2 linked regions of the Struthio camelus genome follow. The protein of the gene in region 2 purifies or fractionates together with the protein of the main gene of each other region. This does not show direct contact. Links are inferred from orthologs where the notes say so. Each region holds a gene or a part of one and is shown on either strand. Other genes may lie near its edges.

Evidence for each region. The genes of interacting proteins can lie anywhere in the genome.
Region 1: the proteins of CUL5 (region 2) and RAB40C purify together in Homo sapiens (affinity purification with mass spectrometry; 5 studies listed by BioGRID and IntAct, counting the BioPlex papers as one, with this or other methods). This does not show direct contact. The link is inferred for Struthio camelus from reciprocal best matches to the Homo sapiens genes CUL5 and RAB40C.

Annotation. Positions count from the first base shown.
Region 1 is NC_090956.1:21,176,004-21,183,086, forward strand, and holds the start of RAB40C (ras-related protein Rab-40C), read right to left. Parts: upstream 3,081-7,083; 5' UTR 2,862-3,080; intron 2,556-2,861; exon of another isoform or gene 2,490-2,555; intron 2,369-2,489; 5' UTR 2,147-2,368; coding exon 1,993-2,146; intron 1-1,992. UniProt on the Homo sapiens protein: RAB40C small GTPase acts as substrate-recognition component of the ECS(RAB40C) E3 ubiquitin ligase complex which mediates the ubiquitination and subsequent proteasomal degradation of target proteins.
Region 2 is NC_090942.1:205,700,803-205,708,374, reverse strand, and holds the start of CUL5 (cullin-5), read left to right. Parts: upstream 1-4,403; 5' UTR 4,404-4,503; coding exon 4,504-4,527; intron 4,528-7,572. UniProt on the Homo sapiens protein: Core component of multiple cullin-5-RING E3 ubiquitin-protein ligase complexes (ECS complexes, also named CRL5 complexes), which mediate the ubiquitination and subsequent proteasomal degradation of target proteins.

The DNA of each region.
Region 1 (7,083 bases), on a different chromosome or scaffold from region 2:
CCAGTTTGTAGCTGACAAGTGCTCACATCACAAGAAACTATAGTACCTCAGCCAGCTGCTTCAGCCAGGAGGCCAAGCATTAAATGTTCACAAAGTCCGTCCCTTGATATGAAGGTACTTGGTCTTGTCAAGGCACAGCTAAAGCATGCTGGCAGAGACACTTGCACTGTCAGTATTATATCCCAGCTATTTCAGAGACACAGGAAATTCGATTGCCAAGGCTGTCAAGAATATCAGCAGTATCAAATTCACTGAAACTGCAAAGCTGTTCAATCTGATTATCCAAAAAGCATGCAATTTAGCAGAAGCAACAGAATTAGAGACTACTAAAGCATATATTGTCAGGAAAAAAAAAAAACAAAAAAAACCCAGTATCTGACTGTATAAAATTCACTACATAAGAATGGGTTCCACTGCCTACAGAAGACAGGAGAAGGTTTTAAATACATTAGTGTACTGTTATTTCTTTTTTCTAGAAAAAGATGGCAGTATTGTCTTGCTATAAAATAGTGGGTACAGGGACAAAACTTTTTTAGTTATAGACAAAATTGGGGTTTTTTTTTGTTTTTGTACCATCACACACAGATGCTCCTTTCAATCATACCTATTATTCCACCACTTGTTTCTAAACAATGGTTAAAATCATTTATATTAGAAGACAATTCCAACTCAAAACAACAATCCCTGTTCTATTCTTCATCCATTTCTGTTTAGTAAATATTTATCCCAAGGAGCAGTTCTATAGCTCCCAACTGAGGCAGGTTCTTCAGAGATAAAATGTCTCTTCAGGGAAGCTTAGAAGTGTCAAGTAACTCCTCCAAGGTAAACCACAGAAGCTCAGCCAGACATCCAAACAGATGAATGATACCACAATCCTCTAGTTCCAGAATTTGCTACTCCAATTTCACAACCATTCTGACTTTTCTGAGTCACTGCTTCCCCATAAATATCTGCAGATCAGGTGTGCTCTTGCATCAGTTCTTAAAACGATGATACTAGTTCTGAGGACTATTATACAGTTAGGAATTGAGCCACACTGCTCCTTTAAACTCTAAATTCAGCCAGCTTCAGCCCAAAGCGTCCAGAAGCACCTGATTATCTCGGATGAAACTAAATACTAACTGTTCCAGCCCTCAGGTTGGTTCTGGTGAGGATGCAGGATCTGAATTAGATCGTTTCTGTCAAACCCTTGGGGCCACTGTTTTGCACTGAAGATGGTGAAATCTATGACAGATTGAAAATCACCCCAGGACCTGTACCATACCAGGCAGTGTTACGTTTTAACTGCAGTGAAGGGATGCAGGAAATAGCACAGCGTCACTCCTTGGCTCTTAATTATAATCTTGTGACACTATAGTTAATGGTCTGTCATGGGCTCCATCGTACACCCTGATGTTTGCAGGGGGCAGACAGATGAATCTGTACTCTCAACACCCAAGTACCAAGTCATAAATAGCTTTAGTCTGGAAATAACGTTACTGTTCTTTTGTTGCAGACCCCATAGTACTTCCTTTTAGTACCAATCAATCCTTGCATTAACCCCTGCTGTGATGATGGAAAATAGATTTGGCTGTTTAAGTAGGATATACAACCAGAGCTATGTTTGGTAACGGTCCAGTTATGCTTAAGGATTTGCATGTCTTGTGATTACATCTGACACCAACTTCTTTAGCATCTCTCTAGTCAGAATCTCCAGGAGACCTCTGTGATTTTAAGGAACAGTCAGCACCTTTCGACTACCATGAATGCAAACCCTAATAAACCGCATTATATTTTCAATTAAAAAAAAAAAAAAAAGAGCCCCTCCCTCCCCAAAATTGATTTTTCTATTAACAATGATATAATGCAGAGTTCCTTTTCTCTATACATTACAAGATTTCAGAGTTGCAGCTCAGTAAGAACTGTGAAAGCACAGATCATTCACCTTATCTAAAGCTACCTGTAATGTCACAGGACAGAGCTTTCGCCCACCACCCCTTCCAAAAGCCTTACCGTTGCTGTAGGCATAAGGGGATTCTGATGCTCCATCTTGAAGGCTCTCCAGGATTTCTCCTTTACCAACATCACTGTCTCCTACCAACAAGAACTTGAGCAGATAATCATAGCTCTTCACAGGGCTTCCCTGGGTTCCCATTCTCCCTCTCATTAGTGAAGAGGCACAAACCGCATACTAAACACACAGCCAGATTGAAGGGAGCTCCAGTTCCAGCCTCTGAGTTTTTAAAGATAAATGTATGAGAATGATTATCTCTCTCCCCCTTTCAAAGGGAGGCAGAAAAGGAAAGAGAAGAAGGAGGTGATCTCAGAACGAGCCCTCCATCTTCCCCATCTTGCATCTAATCTTCTCTGCCAAGATACGCTCAGACACCTGGGGGAAGGAGGGGAGAGAAGAAAAAAGAAGAAAAAAAAAATCTTAGTTCCTTCACCCGTGATTAGCATCTTATTAATTAAGCAAGCATTCCTCCCAGCTGCTGACAAAGAAATCGCACTTGATTCTCCTCAAGGCCACTGAAGTCGGAGCAACAGCTCCCAGCGCGGAGCCCATCACCCGCCGGCTCTGCGGAGAACACGGTGCGGCAGCGGCCCACCGCCCCGCCGGAGCCGCCCGCGAGCGGGGCCTCGCCGCGGCGCCCCAGAGTGCGGTCGGGGGCCCGGGCGCCAGGCGCCGCGAGCCTGCCCGCCCGGTGCGGCCCTGCCCGCCCCAGGCCTGGGCCCGCCGCCTCCCCCGACCGAGCTTCAGCCCTGCCAGCGGCGGCCGGGACCCAGCGCGCCCCCGCCTCTCCACGGAGCCCGGCCCAGCCCGCTGCCCCTCCCGCGGCCGAGGGAGGCCTGCAGTGGCAGGCTGCCGCCGGTGCACTCACCTCGCGGCCGGGCGTGCGCCCCGGGGCCGGGGCAGCTCCGCCGCCAGGACGGCCGCACCTCCGGCGCCACCAGCTCCGCCTGACGCCGCCGCGCAGCACCCGGGCCGGCCGACGGTGAGGCCGCAGCGAGCGCCCTGCTCGGCTCCCGGTCTCCATAGGCTTGCCGCCACGTCCGTCACCACTGCCACCACCCCACCACGCCTACTCCCACGTTTCTCCTCGCCCCTCCCGCGCTCTTCTGGCCTATCGGAAGCCACGTACGAAAGAGGGGGCGGGACTGCCAGGCTGCATCGACCGACCGTCTGTGGGAGGTGCTGAAGGGCGCAGACTACAGCTTCCGGCGTGCCTTGCGAGGCCTGGCCGCCGCCGCTGAGGACGCGCTCGAGCAGGGCATGCTGGGATTGGGAGTCGGGGAGCTCCCTGCGGGGCGGGGCGGGGCACATGTGGGCGGAGGAAGCGGCGGGGGGCGCAGGCCGGCTGTAGGGCAGGGGGAGGCCTTCAGGGGGGTAGGCCGGACGTGGGGCAAGGGGAGACTAGCAGGGGGCAGGCCGGCTGTAGGGCAGGAGCAGGGGGAGGCAGGCCAGGTGTGTGGCAGGGGGTGGCCATCGGGGGGCAGGACGGGTGTGGGGCAGGGGCAGGGGGAGGCTGGCAGGCAGGCAGGCAGGCATGGGGGCAGACCAGGTGTGGGTCGGGGGGAGGCTCGGTGTGAGGTAGGCTGGAGGGGGGCAGGCCGGTGGGGAGCCCAGCTGGTGGGGACCGCCAGGCTCCCGCGTGCTGCCGCGGCAGGGATCAGCCCCTGCAGCTCCAATGAGGGTGCCTGAAGTGCATCAGCACACCAGGCTGCAGCTTCCCTGTGGTATGTTGAAATGCCTTTGCAGAGAGGGTCATACAGAAGTCTGCCCCAGAGCAGAGTGTGGGAGAGAAGAAAGATCACAGGAATTTAACAGCTGGGCTCCCCAGGCCAGAGGGGAAAAGAAGAAAGCAGATTAATTCTTTGTCTTGGGCTCTGATTCACCTGGGCTCTTAAGGATGTGTTTAAAGTCAGGCATATCATTAAGTGCTTTACTGAATCAGGCTCTCAGTGCGAAGATGAGAGGAGAAACTAGCACAGAGCAAGTGTGATCCATCTCAGCCATATGTCGCTGAGGAGAGGGAGCCAGGTCAAGGTGGGAAGGACCATGTAGGGCCTGATTCAGGGCTGGCGGAGCCAGTGGGACTCTTCCCAGTGGCTGCCACAAGCTTTGGACTCGATACAGCTTTTCACACGCTGGACTCGTTCCAGCCTGTGCCACTTGCACCCACTGCCGGCTTGCATCCCACTGCACATCCCACTCACTTGCCCTGAGGGCTGCACAGGGCTGAGTCAGGCGATGCTGCAGGCCTGCAATGGCTTTAAGGAGAGATCTAGCCCTGCAGGCCAGCTTTCAAAGGTGGGCTAAGTCAGCAGGCTGATCCTGACAAACAGCCTGCCTGCCCTGTGGGCTGAGCAGCCTGAGAGACTTGGGATTAAAAGTCCATTGTGATGGAGAATAGCCTGGAAAGGAAATCAAATTGTTCTATTCCGATCCCCTAAGGCCGTACTATCAGTGATCTGGAGGGAAAGGAAGGATTCCTATGTTTGGAGAATGAGCTCAGTTCCAAGAGGAATTGCTTTAAGGCCCTAAACTTGGGGGGGGAACCACGTCTCACCGTTCTTACTGCTGTTCTTACTGCTCCAGCCTGCAGCTCATCCATCAGGCTGTTGGGCAGTCACCAGGCAAACCGCACCATTAACTGTGCTGTAGATATCTGAGGGAGTGAATTCGTCCTCCTAACCACCAGCAGGGATGGGAACATCCTGCAGCCCTGTTTCAAAGCCTCATTCTTTTCCTGTCTTTTCTTTCCTGGCTCATCTCATTTGCATTTCAATACCAGATAGTACCTCCAGGCTGTGGCCATCTCAGAGCAGCGCCGGTGTCTGCACTCAAACATCTTGACCATTGGGCACCCTGACAGCGCGGCACCCCAGCATCTGCTCAGCTCAGCTTGCTTTGCAAAGGAGACTTGCAGGAGTGGGTACCTAGCTTGTTCCTCTCCTTCTGGGGGGCCAGGGACTCCTTGGCTATCATACTGTAAGCACTCTGGGCTATGAGAGCCCTCTGACCCCCCCCAAGAAGTGGGGCACAGATGGGGTGCCACAGTGTTATTGCCTGCCCAGGCTGTGTGGGGCCACTGTGGTAGGAAGGAGGGCTGGAGGCTCTGGAAGATCCTGGGGTCTGGCTGAGTGAGGATCCTCTCTCTTGCAAGGCTCACTGAGGTAGCTGTGTGTTAAACAATGGATATTGGCTAATCTTTTTAGAGCCAGCCAGCCCACTAATTAGGTTCCCAGCCTGGCTGCCTTGCTGCATGTAACAATTAGTCCCATTTAAAATGACACTCTAACCCACCCCCAATTTCCTTACTCCTCAGGGATTGAGTGGGCCTTGAACTCGGCAAGCACCAGGGAAACTCATCTGTATTCCAAGGAGGCTGCTGGCTCCTTCCGCTCCAGCCCTGCAACCCACACATCCACCTCCTCCTTTGGGGAGTTTCCAGTGATTTTGAGTGCTGGAGATCTCCAGAAAACACTACTGCATTAAAACCGCCTCCTCCTTTGGGGCGTTTCCAGTGATTTTGAGTGCTGGAGATCTCCAGAAAACATTGCTGTATTAAATCAAATTAACATTTGGGGTCAAGCCTATAGATTTCCAGGAGCAGAGGGTAGGTTGAGATGTTGCAGTAAGGCCAGGACTGCATTTGGCTGATAACATATCCTGGCTATGGGTTGCAGATTCCTGGTGCCGCTGCAGGGTTACAGAGTCTGAGAGGTTTCTTCCCGATGCACACATGCACACACCTGTGCATATCAGTGGGGTCTGGCTGCCCACAGTCCAGAGCAGGGCTCAACAGCACCCAGTCAACATTAGCCCCTCTGACTCCCCTTTTCCCCCAAATCTCTTTTACCTCCATGGCTCTTTTCTAACCAAATGTGACAGCAAAGATGCTGTAAGAGGGGACATTCCTACCTTTTTCAAGAAAATCCATAATTCGAAGGAGGGGATAGAGCACATCTGTACCTCTGTTAAGGGTAAGGCATGAACTCAACTTTTATTAGTCTTCAGAGCATCAGCTCTCATTCCCACATCCTGCTAACCCTGTGAGTGCCACTGCTTATTTTCTGAGGCATGCTCACATTGATCTCTGAAATCCCCTTGGATGGTTGGGGTGGGGAGAGGGGGAGGAAGATGGGATGGTTGGGAGGCTGGGGATGGAGGGCTGGATGGCCATGGAGGAATGGCAGTTTGACTGCTGCCTCTGTGTAGGAGGATTCGGCAACAGGGAAAAGGGGACTGTGGCAGACATGGGGCAAGGTCCAGAACAGCCTGGTGCCCCTGTTAGCGCAAGCCCAACTGGCCCAGGGATGCTTGCAGTGAGCGGGCTGGGCAGAAGCTGCTGGCTTCCTGGGGCTGCCTGCATTGCTGTGGCTTCCTGGAATTATCTGAGAGGGATGGAGAGAGGAGGAAAAAAATCACCTGAACCTAAACACCAGAACAATCCACTTGCCGCAAGCCAGCTCTACTAGATATAGCCAGGCTGGTGCAGCAAAGCCTGTGTCTGACTCCTCACAGCTGCCTGTCTCCATTGCATGCCCTCCACCTGGGGCTGCAGCACCTCCCTGCCAGCCTGGCTAGGCTGTGAGAGTATCTTTAGAAATATGGAGACAAGGAGAGATTATATTTTATCAGACACCAGCAGGAGGGACTTTAAAGGTGGCCTGCAACTCAGCACACTGTTGAAGCAGGGCTTGGTTTTTTCCTCAGCACATGACAGATAGTGTGGTCCTTTACTATGAATTAGATGACCCTCCAGTGTTAGGCTCTTTCACTGGACCTGGGAAATGGTAGGACCTGGGCAGAGGAGGTCCTTCCAGAAGGGTAAAAGGTGGTCCTGTGCCCACAATGGGGCAACAGGTCCCTGCAAGCTCTCCTGACACTGGCGGTGATGGGAGACAGTTGCTGTGTCTGGATGCTTGGAGAGACTGAGAGCACTCACAAAGCTGCTGGCAGCACCTTAATTCCTGGATGGCCGAGCTCAGAGGGTTGTGGTGAATGGCGCAGAGTCAAGTTGGAGGCCTGTAGCTAGCGGTGTCCCCCAGGGGTCAGTCCTGGGTCCAGTCTTGTTCAATATATTCATCAGTGACCTG
Region 2 (7,572 bases):
ATAGGTGGCTCTGGCGATACAAAGACACCAAAATCTTCAACAGTTGTAAGTGGAAGCAACAATAATCTCTGCTCCCCCACACAGACATCTTTTCCAAAATGCTATTGTTATTAACTGGAAGGGTGACACGAAGCTCAGGCGCACCAGAAATAAAATTGTTTGCTTTCTTGTTCAAATAGAAACAAACATTCGGAAGAAGTTTCACGTGAAAAGTCTGGTCATTGGTGGCGTGTCTTTTGTCAGCCAGATAAGCATTTGTGCCTCCTTGCCTTGTTAAAAGGATAATCTTTGGAGACTTTCATGGCATCGTTCATGCAGAGGGTGGTGACTAAGCAGTGCAGTGATAAACCAGGCTTTCCCACTGAAGAAAAGAATGTAAAGGCTTAGTATCCCACTGAACATATCTAGCTTGATCGGAGAGGTGTCCAAGATTGACTAATCACCCATCAAATGTCTTTTTCCATCACGGACTAAGTAAAAATCACAAGAAACTATACACATCTTATTCATTATATGTGTGCCTTGGGGTGTTAGATGAGAACGTAACAGTGCATATTTATATCTGATGCAACTCATTCAAAGTCAACATATTTGCCCCTGGAATCAATTCACTCCAAGATGCCTAGGATATATATTTGTATATGCACAATATTCATTTCACTGATCGTCTAGAGCTTAATGAGATGGCATGTGCAAATCACTGTGAATCCAGGAATAACTCTGGGATTAAGTGTTTTTCACTCTGTCTTTTATGATCCATGCCAAACTTATAAAACTGTAGTCCAATGTAGTACCGTATACTAATTAATTAATATTTTCATTAGTGTCAGAATTCAATAATAATCCATTTGCAATAGAATTAAAGCAAATTAGACGAAATTATGTAACTCTTTGTACTTTCCGTGTGCCCTGAAGTGGTGCTAAAATACCACAAAACCTTGAGGCTCAAAGATGTCTTTACTTTCCAGGAAAAATAACGTACAGATTTTTAGAAGAATCTTACAGTTACTATGTAAGCCATGCAAAATGAAATGGACGTTATTTTTAATATCAGTAAAATGTACGACCGTTTCCTAGTTTCATGGCTTCTCAGCTGTTCAAATCCTCTTTATTCCTCCGCTGTCACTACTCACAGCTTTGGCATCAGAGCGTATTTAAATAGGAGGCACAAACGCTTGTCCTCAGGACTTTCCTTGCTGATTGTTTCCGGCCAACCGCGTAACTGTTACAGCAATGCTTACAGGATTTCTGGGAATACTTAGACTAGACAAGACCATGGTGGGCGCTCAGATCCTGGGGTGTCCTGTGTACCGCTACATTTCTGTGGTAGGTGTGCACAAAAACGGCAAAGAGATCCCTCAGTGAGATGGATTAAAAGGTGGATTAAAGAATTCTTAGCAAATGTATTGATATTTTACTTGGTAAAGGATAGTGTATCTTGCGTCCAGGGTTTAAGCAATAAATGTTAGAGACCAAAGAGAGACCTAAGTAGGTCCCAAATCTCTGAATGACAAGGTATGACATCTTCCTGCAACTGTCTGACGCTGGCCCCCATTATAGAGAATTCCAGATGATATTGACTTCAGTTTGGGCTTCATCCAACATGATGTTACTCAGTCGTGACCCAAGAGCTGAATCCACTAGGAAAATGAGGGAAGTAGGCGCTGATTAATGCAGGACTGAGATTTGTTCATTATGAGCTTGGTCTCACACCATCTGCTGCATCAGCTTTGTCTGGGTGAAAACCTTTCTGAGGAAGATGTTCAGGCCAGCTTTCAGGGAACATTTGTCAACCCTATGGGCTATAAGCTCAGTGGCACCTATGCGTAGTTATTAGATATTATCCTCACCTAGGTTTCTTTGCTTGTTAAAAAGAGACCACTTTCATATGTAGAAGATTCTTCTTTTTTAATCTGATTTGAGCTGAATTTTTAGAGAAAATACACTTTTTTTTGTAGAGTGGGAGTATTAAATAGAGTAGAATAGGAATAGATGTTTGTATGTTGATCCTACTACCTCTTCCTCTGTGGATACATGTTACAGATTTCTGTTTTCATCAGCAACCAGGAACAGTCAGTTCTTCACTTAAAGGCTCAGAGCTAGCCGTGGAGATCCAAGCTGTTTGCTGAGTAATTGTGAGCGTTTGGAAAGGATGAAGCAATGGTCATTCTTCTCAAGCATCAGGTCAAAGCTGAGACAGTCATGTGACATCATCTAAAAATACGGTGGTGATGGAATAGAAACTCTTCTCTCACCTCCCCCCTCAAATTAACAATGTGGGAGAAATAATGTTTTTACATGTATTTGCATGTGTTTCACTGTGTGAGTACTGAATAATAAAAGCTATGTTGGAAAGGTAAATGTATATCAGTCGCTATCGTTTTCTGTTTTTAAATTAGAGGCTTTAGAAAAAATGGGCCAATTTGGACATAAGCAGAGGTTGTACACTTTTAAAATTGCTTTATGTGCTTATTTTACACTGTATTTAAACACTAAATCTTCACAGCTACAACCTGAGGACATTGAATCACTAGTTATATTGTCTTCTATAAATCATCAGCCTTCGATTAGCAGGAAGAAGACTTGAAAACTCATTTCTCTTTTCTCTAATTTGATCTATAAGGACTTAAATCCTCCATATTATGAAATAGATACAGAAAGTATGGTATATAATACCATGCAATCTATATTGTGTAGTTCTATACTATATATACAACTGTGCAACTGTATGCATTACATACACAGTGAATACTGTATAATTGGTCATGATATATATACATAGTATAGACTATGCAATGTATATGCAACAACAAAGGAAAATTTTAAAGTCCAATTGAAGCATTCAAAACCTGGAAGGTTTGTAAAAACGGGTAACTGTTCAATACCTCCTCAACACTTCTTAGTTAAGAGAACACCTTACTAAGCCTTAAAACATGTTAAATTAATAAGGCTGCAGGCCCTGTTTAGTCGACGTTATCAAACCTTCTGTGGAGCACAGAATTTCTGAATTTTGTCTGACAGCTTTTCTACTGAGCTAACAGTTTAGGATGTCTGTGTTTTACAACATGAATTTCTCTTCAAATCCTCAGTTTCTCTTCTCTTCATCTTATGCCCCAGACAAGACTGAGAGAGCACTATTGTCACCATTTGCAAACGAGGTGTTGACTCATTAGGAGATCAAAGCTGTTAAAAGCTCCGAGAGAGGCTTAGGGCTTGAAGTCTCCGGCCATACCCGAAACACCTTTTGTTCAGCACCTTCTTCTCAATAACCCCAGTGGCTGTGGTGAGTACTTAGTGTTTTGTCAGGCACACCACTGGCCCTCCAGACGGACAGCCGTGATCCGTGTTCTTCCTGGTGGCTGAGAAAAAAACGCTTTCGATGGGCTTGCTTTGACAGAGTCCCAGACAGACCAGGTCCCCGGAGCGGCATCCAGCTGACTTCATCTCAGGACAAGTCTGTCTCTTGCCACCTCTCTTGTCCCCTGCGCCCCTTCCAACTTCTTTAGCAAACCAGGTGGAGAACAGACAAAACCTCCTTCTCGCAGGGCGATGACTCATTCCTTGCCCGCTCTAAATCCGCGCAAAGAACGGATTGGAAGCGCCATGGAAAACGGCGTGGTCGTTAGCGGAGACGAGCACGCAGCGTGCCCAAGAAGGGGCCAGATTAAAGCGGAATGGATGACGTTAATGCTCAGGTTTCCTAACCTGTAAGAGAAGCTCGCTGGACTTTTTTTTTTTTTTTTTTCTTGGAGACACACTTCGGACCAAAGCAAAATGTTTTAATAAAAAGGTACAATTCAGTTTCCTCTCACTGAAAACGTTTCCCCATCTCCCGCCCAAAACGTGCCTAAAACCAAACACTTCTTACTAGACAGAAAACTCGCGTTTTCACTCAGGGCGGTCAAAGGAGCGCAGGCTTAGAGGGGGGCTTACACGTAGGGACGGGACCCCGCCTCATAGAGAGGGGGGGGGTCCCCGTTCCCCCAGGAAGGACGGGCGGGGGGGTCCCCGTTCCCCCACGAAGGACGGGGGGTGGGGCAAGGCCGGGCTGCCTGGGCCGGGCCGCGCCGGGCGGCCTCCCCGCGGCGGGACGCTAGGGGGCGCCGTCGCCGGAGCTCGCCGGCCCGGGTGTCCGCGCTTGGCGGCGGGCCGGCTCCTCGGCGCCGCGCATCATGTGGGCCAGCCCCTTCCATGGAGCCGGGGTCGCCGCCGCTGAGCGTCTGCTGGGCGGACGCCGCCATGAGGCTCTGAGGGGCGGCTGCGCGCGGGGGAGCGAGCCGGCCGCGCGGCGGAGCGCGCCCAGCCTCGCGCCGGCCTCGCCGCGGGAGGGCGGGCGGGGAGCGCAGCGCAGCGCAGCGCTGCGGGCGGCGCCGCTGCCGCGGGTCCGGCCGGGCGGGCGGGCGGCCCGGCGCCATGTAAAGCGGCAGCGGCCCGGGGGAGCCGAGCCGAGCGTGGGGAGAGGAGCCGGAGGCGGCGGCGGCCGCGGGGCCCCGCGGGGGGAACATGGCGACGTCTAATCTCCTGAAGGTGAGGGCGGGCCGCGCCGGCCGCTGCCGGAGGGGCAGGCGGGGGCCGGGCGCCCGGGGCGGCCCCGCGGGGCCTGCGGGCCGCCGGGGCTGGGGCGAGCGGGGGGCGGCGGGGCCGGGCGCGGGCCGCTCGCCTCGGCCACCCCGCGGCCTCTGGGCTGCTAGCGGGCCGCCCGCCCTTCCCAAACCTGCGCCGCTGCGAAACAACGTTGCGCCGTGCTGTTAGGCCGGGCGCGGTGCTGGCTCTCTTGTTTAGATTTTTCTGCAACCCTGGATGTGCAGAAAACGAATTTTAAGTTGAGCCAGGGGTTGAAAAACGCCGCTGCGGGGAGCAGGTGTTGTGACTTGGGGGGGCCCTCTTTTGTTAACGGCAATTTTTCTGCAGAGAAAAACTCTCCCAGGCCTTTCAGTTGCGTCGAGCAGCTTTACTCGCATAGCGAGGGGTTTCCAGGCGCTTTGCCCATGTTTGAGGACAGATGTCAATCATCCTAACCTGTTGCAAATTTTAGGGGGAGTTTTTGCTGTGACAGCCCAGTATTTGCGTCCAGGACTGTCTGTCCAAATTTTGGTGGCGTGCGTATAGATCAGGCTGTATGTGGCCTTTGAGGCTGTGCCAGCACGTGGAAAACGGGCCTACTTAAAGCAGCTGTTACTAATGCCTCCAGTAAGTGTTTCTAGATCCTCAGTGTAGTTGTGGTGAAAGGCTTGTGAAAGATTGCTAGCTTTGTTTAACTTTATCGGCTAGCAGTTAAAATATATGTAAAATAAATATCTGTGTTCAGCGTCGTGTGTTGTATTCAGGTATGGTTCTGGAAAAGTGCTTCTTACATTTCAGCAAGCTGACCTATTTCAGGTGTGTGGATTTGTCCTGAAACTGTGGGTTATATTACTCTAAGACACTCAGTTTGCAGAAATGAGAAATAATTGATAGCCTTGTTTCTTCCTCGTGTCCAAAGAGAGAGGTTTTCTGTCATAAAGACAGAGCTTTAAAAAAAAAAAAGTTTTTCTTGAAATTGAAATGTAACGGAAATTAGTTCTTTTTCATTTCTCTTAATTCTTTTTCTTCCTGTGAAAATAAGCAGTTAGCTTTTTAAACTATGTAAGGTGTTAATCAAAGTCTAACTTGGAAGAATCCACACATTCTGGCAAAAAGCATAATGCCCCACAAGAGTTTCTGGAACAAAATGTTGGGGTTTTTTTGTGGAAGAGTATTGCTTTAGAGTAGGGTTCAAACAGTTTATCTACTTGATATTTAGTCCATTGCTTTGCAGTATGTGTAAGGGTTTCTAGGAAGGCTGAGAGGCGCGTTGATGAGAACGTGGTTGTGTAGCCCTCAGCAGCTAGAAGGCCTGTGAGATTTATCAGCATTCTGCTTCACCTCTTCTGAAAACTACTAGGTGTGCAGCAAGTGAAAATACAGTCAAAGTTCTTGACTCTGTGAGATGGTTCCTAATGACTTGAAGCCCTTTTGTTTGCTAGTGACAGCTTCACCACTGGCCTTTGAATCATTAATATTTTATGTTGACAAAAAGTATGTTTCAGGGAAAATGCTACAGGGAGATACTTAGAGTAGGCCTTTCTGGTGACTTGGGAGCTAACTTAGTAAGTTTCCTAAAGATAATAAAGTATGAGTTCTACATTACAAAAGAGAGCAATTAGACAGTGATTTCACTTTGTTTATAATGACAAAATAAACCAGTGAGAGAGTTGGAACTGGATGAGGGTTTTTGTTCCACAGTTCTGACACTCAGTGTGCTCCCGGAGAAGCAAACCGTTGATTGATTGAATGTCAGTGCTGTTGCCAGTGCCTCGCACTAGGGGGGAGCAATATCCCCTAGTCGGTAAAAATCCGTGGGGTAAGAAAGGAGAGATGTTAAAATCTTGAGGGAGGTCTGTATTTTTCCAAATTAGCCTGTATGCTAATGTAAGCCAGGTTGAGGCAGGTTCTATTTTTTGCTAGGATAAACAGGAACTAAGAGTTTTCTCTGGGTTTCCCCCATCCTCTCTCGACCTTCTACATAGTTGAGAAAATGAAGTGGAATATTCCTTTCCTATTCTAGTAATGGGTACTGGCTGAAGTGAAATCTGACTGGCTGCCCTTGTTTTAGAGGGCATCATTTAAACTCCACTAGTGCATGGTTTTTCTTAAGTGTAAAATGTGCTTGATTTTTAGGGAGAAGCATATTCTTAGACTTCCTTCTTTAAATGCAAAATTAGTATGACTAATCATATGTTGACTCTTGATGAGATGCAACAAATTTCAGTGTGATCAAAATATTAAACTACTTAGGAAGAGCTAGCCATTAAATGGGCAAGCTAGTTTATACTCTACCTATAGCAGGACTACTGTCCCATGTTAAGGCTGTGACTTTTCTGTAGGCTGTGGCTACAGCTCTGTGGCTGAGTCTTTGCTAGATTCGTTCCTTAGTACTTTTTCTTTCAACATACTTGTGGTCCTGGCTCTTTTAAAGTGGAGTACTTTGTTTCAGGGGATGTGTTGGACTTGTAACCTGTTCATTTTGCAGTGACAAAATAGTCTAAACCAATTCACTCATGTGACGTGAAGATGCACGTGTTTTCCTGCGGTTCCTGAGGCGCAGAACAGCTCAGTTTACTGCAGCATGAAGAAAACTTGTAGCTGTATGTATGCTAGCACATCCTGGCATTTCTCTGCAGCCTTACTGGAGGTGCTGGCAAATTCAAGAGTTGGCCCTTGCAGTCACAGGACTGGAGATTGAGCCTGGTATTAGGAGGGAAGAAACAAAACAAGCAGCAGATTTTCTGTAGGCTTGAGTGAAATGAGAACCACAGTTTACCTTTCCCTTTGTTTTAACTATTTTTCTTGATTTCATGCCTTTGTCACTGACAACTGGAAGCATGTCTGAAATTTTTGAATTCTTCAACCTAAAATAAATACTTCCAGATCTGTGGTTTACATTTGTCTGTCTTCCTGGCTACTTCCAGTTAGAATATACTTAAGATACTAGCAAATATTCTGCTCTAGTAAGCTTTGCTATATGACTAACTTTCTCTGTGGCTGCTTTTC